2 linked regions of the Notamacropus eugenii genome follow. The protein of the gene in region 1 interacts with the protein of each later gene in a biochemical or structural test. Links are inferred from orthologs where the notes say so. Each region holds a gene or a part of one and is shown in the gene's direction. Other genes may lie near its edges.

The links.
Region 2: the proteins of CREBBP (region 1) and TDG form a complex in vitro, tested with the Homo sapiens proteins (2 studies listed by BioGRID, with this or other methods). The link is inferred for Notamacropus eugenii from reciprocal best matches to the Homo sapiens genes CREBBP and TDG.

The regions. Positions count from the first base shown.
Region 1 is NC_092872.1:58,235,838-58,239,584, reverse strand, and holds the start of CREBBP (CREB-binding protein), read left to right. Parts: upstream 1-1,135; 5' UTR 1,136-1,250; coding exon 1,251-1,335; intron 1,336-3,747. UniProt on the Homo sapiens protein: Acetylates histones, giving a specific tag for transcriptional activation. Mediates acetylation of histone H3 at 'Lys-18' and 'Lys-27' (H3K18ac and H3K27ac, respectively).
Region 2 is NC_092874.1:286,697,326-286,701,072, forward strand, and holds the start of TDG (G/T mismatch-specific thymine DNA glycosylase), read left to right. Parts: upstream 1-845; 5' UTR 846-1,076; coding exon 1,077-1,099; intron 1,100-1,481; exon of another isoform or gene 1,482-1,552; intron 1,553-3,747. UniProt on the Homo sapiens protein: DNA glycosylase that plays a key role in active DNA demethylation: specifically recognizes and binds 5-formylcytosine (5fC) and 5-carboxylcytosine (5caC) in the context of CpG sites and mediates their excision through base-excision repair (BER) to install an unmethylated cytosine.

The DNA.
Region 1 (3,747 bases):
ACGCCCACGGCCCTTCACGTCCCTCCTTCGGCCCACGGGCGGCGCTGTCCGCCACAACACGGCAGCGCTACGCACTCCAGCCCGGTCGCTCGGCCCTTTCCGCCTGGGCGCGTTCGTATCTTTCCGGCCGCTCCCGGGTGCAGGTGGAGGGGGGCGGGGCGGGGGCCGTGCGTGGTGACGCTGCGGGGGGGGTGGCGGTGGTGGTGACGCATAAGCGTGCCCCGCCCCCTCCCCCTCCCGTTCAGGCTCTGGAAAAGAGAAGAAAAAAAACTTTCTTTTTTTTTTTAATTGAGGAATCAACAGCCGCCATCTTGTCGCGGACCCGATCGGGGCTTCGAGCGCGATCCACTCGGCCCCGCCGGTTCCGGGCCCCACAACCGCCCGCGCACCCCACTCCGCCCGCCCGGCCCGCTCCGCCCGGCCCTCGGCGCCAGCTCCGGCGGCCCCGCACGGCTCTCGGCTCGGCTTCCCGGAGCCGCGGCGGCGGCGGCGGCGGCGGAACGGGGGTGGGGGGGGCAGCAGCGGCGGCGGCGGCGGCGGCGGCGGAGGCTCCGCTTCGCGCATTGTTTTTCCTCAAGGCGGCGGCGGCGGCGGCTCCGGCTCCTCAAACCGAGTAGGGGAGCGAACCCCGAAGCCCCCCTCCCACCGGGCGGGGAGAGAATTAATTAATTAAGTGGGGCGAGAAGGGGGGGAGGGAGGAGGACGAAGAGGAGGAGGAGGAGGAGGAGGAGGAGGCAGGCGGGCGGGAGGCACCATGTTCCCCGGGACTGACTGAGCCGCCCCGGCCGGGCACCGTCGCTGCCAGCTGGGCCCCGGGGGGGCAGCTGGGCCGCCTCGGCCCCCCCCTCCTTGGAGTGTCGCGCTCGGGAGGGCGGGGGGGAGTCCCGGGCCGCCGCCGCCGCGGCGGGGAGGGGATGAGGGAGCCGCGGCCGGTAGCAGCAGCAGCAGCGGCGGCAGCGGCCGCGGCCGGGGGCGGGCGGTGAGCGCTGCGGGGCGCTGTTGCTGTGGCTGTGATTTCTCCGCCGGCCCCCCACCTCACTGGCCTCCCTCCCCCCCTCCGGCCCCCCATCTCACACTCACTCACACACGCTCGGACAGCCCCCCCCCTCCCGCTCCCTCTCGGTGCCGGCCCGGCCGGGGCAGCTCTCCGAACCCTCCCCAACCCCCCGCTCCGGATTGTCTCCTGATTGCCCCGGACCCTTCGCAGCTCCTACCCCCACCCGCGGGGCTGTTTTCGAGAGCCGGCTAAAATGGCTGAGAACTTGCTGGACGGACCGCCCAACCCCAAACGAGCCAAACTCAACTCGCCTGGGTTCTCAGCCAGTGACAATACAGGTGAGGACCGGGGGCCTTTTGGGGGTGGGAGGGCAGGAAGATGGTTGAAAACATAAAGGGTTGGAGTGCCGGGGAAGGGGACCGAAGTGAATCTGATCGAAGCCAAGTGTCCTGGGAGCCTCAGAGGATCGAGATGTAACGTAGCTTTCAGGGGAACTGGGAGAAGGCCCAGCCCGCAGTGAGGGTTAGTAGGCTTAGTGTCCGCGGACCCTGTTTTGAATTACCTGTCACTTTCCACTCCAAAGGTGAGTAGACATTTCAGATCACAGATGAACGGGGGAGGGGGCTTTCTTCCTGGAAAGGCTTTGGGATCGTAGCTAGATGAATGGGATGTTAGCGATGGCCGAGGTGGTGGGTTCCGAAGAGAAGTGATCCTCTTTTTATCTAGTTAGGCATTGCAAAGGGATTCCACGTAAAATTGTTCCCATCTCCCCACTAAACCTTCCCTCACCCTCCGTCTCCCCTTACCTTGATCACATAAATTCTTCCAAGTTTGAAGGAAGGGAGTTAAGTGCGATTGGAAGGCAGTGGAAAAAGATACTCCGATTCAGATTGATTTGCTAGGCTGGGGTGCAACCTTGCACGAGTCTCTCGATGCTAAATGACTTTTCCAAGGAGGAAAAAAAAAAAGTAAGGTGCCGTGTGTTTGTTTTGTGTAGTGATATCAGATGAGTGTATCTGCTGCGGAGTGTTGAAACGTGTGTGTGTGTGTGTGTGTGTGTGTCAGGACTGCATCTTGGTAAGGGAAAGAAACATCCAGGCTGAAAGATTGGTGACTAGAAATATTTTCTGAATCTCCAAGACAGCGACAACATCAATCATAGTTTTTAACTGATAGTGATAACACTTTTAAGTATTGAAATCCAGAAACTTTTTATGTGGTGCAATCTATAATGATAACTTAATCTTTCAAAATTCAAGCTTGTTTCTGGATATAATATTAAGTTACTTTGGAAACTCTATCCCCTCAAATCTTTCCACTCTCCTAAACCTGAAACTTTAATAGTAATATTTCATAAAAGTTACTATGTATTTAATTTTATATTTCTAACAGGGATAGTTTTAAATGGATGTAAGCCAAGTGTCCCATTAAAAATTAAGCTCCTCCTTTGACTAAACTTAATTTAGGTTATTTTAAAAACAAAGTGGTCATCTGCTTTTAAAACTTAAAAATTCTTAGAATTTGATAGAAAAATTCATTGTGATTCAGAATATCTCTTATTGTAAAACCATGCTTATATTCATTAGGACAACTTCTTTGAAGGCTTCTTTAGATAATAACATCTGCAGACTTTTTTTTCATGTCACTAATTTTTGTGTTTTTTTTTAAATGCTCATTACCTTATTCCCTATTACAGCTTTGAGAACTCTTCATATTTCCTCTTTTTGAATATCTTTCTTTGTACTGTAAAAATTCGTCTTGTAGTTACTAGTTTAAGGACATTCTTTCTCAAATGAAACCTTTTCATCTCTGGTGGTAACATCTGAAAATCACTTTATAATGAATGAATCTAAATTGACTTATGTTGCTGCTGCAATGCCTGTAGATGTGCACTCTGAAATGAAACAGTGAAAACACTTGTATCTGACGTAACACAAGAAAACAACTGCATACTTTGCAACAGAAACTTTAGCTTGGCTTTGTTTTTAAATAGTGTCCCATCTTCCAGCCAGTTTTTTTTAATGGCATGTAACATTTGCTATTACTAGTATTGAAAAATGACAAATACTCTTTTGTACAGGTTCTTGAACGGTTAAATGAAAAACATAAACCAATGGGAGAAATGGCACTAGTAAAAATTTAACAAATTTTTAGTTGATTAACTTGGAGTTTATTTTTGATCCTAAATCTTAATTTTTTTTGTGTTTTTTCCTAAGAAATATGAAAACCATAATTTAATCATTTCTTTTCAGCAAAGCACAGTGTAGGTGACTTTGAAATTGTTTGATGAACTTTCTTAAGATAGAATCTTTACCCCTTTTCCTTTTAATTTTGGCATATGAATATGAATTCTTTAAGTAGAAAACAAAGGACCTCAACTTTAGAAATTTGTGCTCTCAAACTGAGTAACCTTAATAGCAGATTTTTGCTTTGGTAGTAGTAGTAGTACTTTAGTTTGTTTTAGACTTTTGTTATATAAAGGGACATAAACTAGTTATACAGCTGCCATAAAGAGTTTTTCAGAAATAGACACCCCAACTATTTCCCGCTACATACTGCTAATCCCAGCAAAGTTCCTTAGGAAAAGGTTTTCACTTTTGTCAATTTTTCTTTCTTTTTATGCCCAACTCTAGGAACAATTGAGGGAGATTTTCTGGTTTCTGAGGATGAAAAACGAAAAATCAAAACTCTTAATAAATAATTATATTACTAGGTAATGCAGATAACCCAAATTTAACTCCACAGACAAA
Region 2 (3,747 bases), on another chromosome or scaffold:
TCTTGATCTTGTAACTTGTCAAAAAGAACGTAGCTTAGGCTGGTAGGACCTGTTCTGGATGCCACGCCTATTACAACTCCTCCATACCTTTCAGGTATCACTGACTGTTACATTCATTAACAAGTTTAAAAAGATGATTTAGCCTTTCTGGGCCACAGTTTCCTCAACTGTAAAATGACCCTCTTGGATTAGATATCCTCCTTAACCCTTTCAGCTCTCTGTTCCTATAAATCACCTTTCGGGGGCCTCAGTTTCTTCCCTTGTAATGAACACAGTATATAGTGATTTGTACGATTTACAAACACTACCTCATTCTATCTTCATAATCCTGAAAGGCAGGTGCTATTTTCATCTCCATTTTACAAATGAGTAATCCCAGGCAGACAAAGATTTCGAGACTCGCCCAGTCACTCGGTTATTAAGCGTCAGAAGCCGGTTTTGAATGCAGCGTTCATTACACCGTCCTATCTAACACTATATAAACTGTAATAATTATTTTTAATTTGGCATTGGTAAATTAGAGCTTTCGCTTTAATGCTGTGGATTATTTGACTGCATGATCCCAGTTAGCACCTCCAAATACTCGTGTTTTCAGCCGGCGTAGTCCTCGCTAAACTAGGATCCTCCCACCCTGGCTCGGAGCAAACAGGTCCAGCGCACAAATGCTGAGAGAGGGCTGACGTCACGCCCATCTTCCCTCCTTCCCCCCCCTTCCTTTTTTCTCCATCCCGAAAGCCCTTGAGGCAAAGCTAATGGGCCGGCCATCCCAGAGCGAAGCCGATTGGCCAGCTCCTCGCACCACGTGTCACGCCAACCGCTAGCGGATTGGCTGCCGGGTGCCGGAAGGAAGGAGTGGAGAGTTTGACGGGAGCGGAGGGGAGCGGCGAAGGGGAGGGGGGCGGGGCGTTCTCGTGGGCTGTGTAGAAGCTCTGGGTTGTGGTCTGATCCTGTTGCCCGCTTCCATCCCATCCATCCATCTATTTGTCCGTCCCCGGGTGACACGGCGCCCTCCGGCTCGGCAGATCAGCAGCTCGTGGGTTAAGAGAGGGAACCGCCGGCTGGAAGGGCGGCGGGGAATGGAAGCCGAGGACCTGAGCAGGTACGTGTCGGGGCTTGGGCGAGGGGAGGTCTGCTGCCCCCCAGCCTACAGCCCGTCCTCCCTTCACTGTCCCCCCCCTCCACCTCCCCCAGTGGGCGCATGCGCAGGGCCCGGTCTTTAAATGCCCCGCATCCTGGTACAAAGGCGGAGGCGGCGCGCGTGCGCAGACACTTGGCCCTTCCCCCATGGTCCCCTCCCCCACAACCCCCCCAGCCCCGTTCTTTTTTTTTCTTTCGCCCTTTGACCAGCTTTTACTAAAGCACCTACTAGGTGTTAGCCTCCGCGTTAGGCGCGGGAGGATGCGGAGACGGAAGCCTTTCTCCTCCCCCTCTGCAGGTCCCCGGCCCGTGCCTCTAATCATTGCATGTTGTCTCCCCATTAGACTCCGAGCTCTTTGAGGGCAGGGAGGACTTTTGCGTTTCTTTGTGTCTCCAGCTCTTAGCGCAGTGCCCGGTACGTAGTTTTGTTTTTTTAATTAAATTTAAGCTTCCAAATTAAATTAAGCGTTTAAATTTAACTAAGTCTTAAAATGCTTACATTTTAATTGGAGGGAGCTCGGTGGCTCAGTGGGCCTGAGTCAGGAAGACAGATGCCAGCTGTGTGACCCTGGGCAAGTCAGCACCCTCTGTCTTCATAGGGCGGAGAAGGAAATGGCCAAGGAAATACCATGGACAGCGTGGCCGCAGGGTCCCCGGGAGCCCGCGAGCCAAAGCAAGAGGAGCTTTTAAACGGAAGTTTGTAAAATAGCAGCCTTCACCAAGTTGATTTCTTTCACACGGGGATGGTGACAGCACCCACTTTACTGGGTGTTGTAAAAACCCAGTGAGAGATCAAAGGATGGTTGTTCCAAAGGGCTTGGTGCTGCTTTAAGCTGCCGTTGTTTAAGGCCTCAATAGCTGAACTTTTGGAGCACCTTGAGTGAGAAGCGCTCTGCCAACTTTAAAGCCCAGCACTGACAGCTTTCACTGGTAGGGATAGAAGGGAGCTGTGATGTTATTGTGAGGGGGTTAGCCCTCAGCCTTCTCCAGAGGCTCCTTAGCAGCAATTCAAGAGGCCCCTGCAGGTTTCAGTGACTCCTCCTGGGGCAGGCCACCATCACGGTCTTGAGACTGAACTTAAACTCAACTCTGACTTGAAGGCAGAGCCTTTTCTCCTGTCAGAATTGTTGTGTTGGTGGCGGTAGGTGGTGTGTATGAGCAAATACGGGACAGCCCTAGTCTTTGTTGTTGTCTTTTGAGGCCCTTCCACCTCCTTGTGACCGTGTTTGGGGTTTTCCTAGAAAAGATACTGGAGTAGTGTGCCATTTCCTTCTCCAGCGCATTTCACAGATGAGGAAACTGAGGCAACAGGGTGAAGTGACTTGCTCAAGTCACACAGGTAGGAAGTGTTTGAGGCTGGATTTGAACTCAGGTCTTCCTGATTCCAGGCCCACATCCCCACCTAGCTGCCCCAACCCTGACCTAGATGCCTACAAAGCAATTGGGAGGGGTTATTAGGTGGGAGGGAGAGGTGCTAACCCCCTGTACTTTTGGTGTATTCTCGGATCCACTTGACGCTGGCCTCCTTTCAGTTTCCTGACGCTGTCTCTGGGCTCCTGGCATTTTCCCAGCTGTCCCCCTCATCTCTGCCTCCTGGCTTTTCTAGCTCCTGAAAATCCCAACCCAGAATCTTCACCTTCTGTAGGAAGCCATTCCCAAGCTCTCTTAATTCTAGTGCCTGTCCTCTGTAGATTATTAGCTGTTTATCCTTTTTATAGCTTGTGGATGCAGTCTTTAACTTCTTCTCTCCCCCATGAAATTATGAGCTCTAGCACACATAACGGGCGCTTAATAAATACTTACTGACTGATCAGGAGAGGGTTCAGCACTGGGTGTCCTGAAAGCTTATAATAGAGAAAATAGCATTAGGACTTGGGGGACACCACAAGTAGGAAATGGCCCTTAAACTGTGTCTTGAAGGGAAGGAGGACACTCCAGGCATGGGGCACAGCCTCTGCAAAGGCCCGGTGAGGAGAGTTGGCATGTTGGATCCAGGCCGTACTGTAGAGTGGGGAAGGGAGTGGTTTTTAGTTTTGAAGTGTCAGGCAAAGCAGTTTAAGCTAGTGTGGGAGGGGGTCAGTCTTCCTTCTGCTTTATGAATAGCTGCGGATCATTGCTTTCTGCAGTGTTGTTCCAGACAGGCAACGTGAAGGATATCAAAAGAGAAATCCAGTTCTGGAGCCACAAGGGACCTCATCTAGTCCAGTCCTCTCATTCTGTACTAGAGGAAACTAAGTCTCAGATACTTTGACTGACTTGCTTTGGTTTAATCCAGCACTGTTTCCCTTGACCCAGGCTGAAACAGCAAGATGAGTGTAGAAGGCAATAGTGAGGCGGGAAGCCCATTAAGAGTGAGGTGGTCTGAGTTCAAATCCGAGTTCTACTCTTTAATAGCAGTTTGCCCTTGACAAGGCACTTCTCCCTGACTGATCCATCATACCTGCAAACTGGGGATAATATACTTGCATTACTATGTTGTGAGGAAATGCTTGGCATACCTTAAAGCAACAGAAGTTTGAGTGTCTGCAGCAGACCCAGAAGTTCTGGGACGGTTGTATGGGGATCCTGTGCCAGGATTATTTGACAATAATAACATTCAGTCCTTTCCTA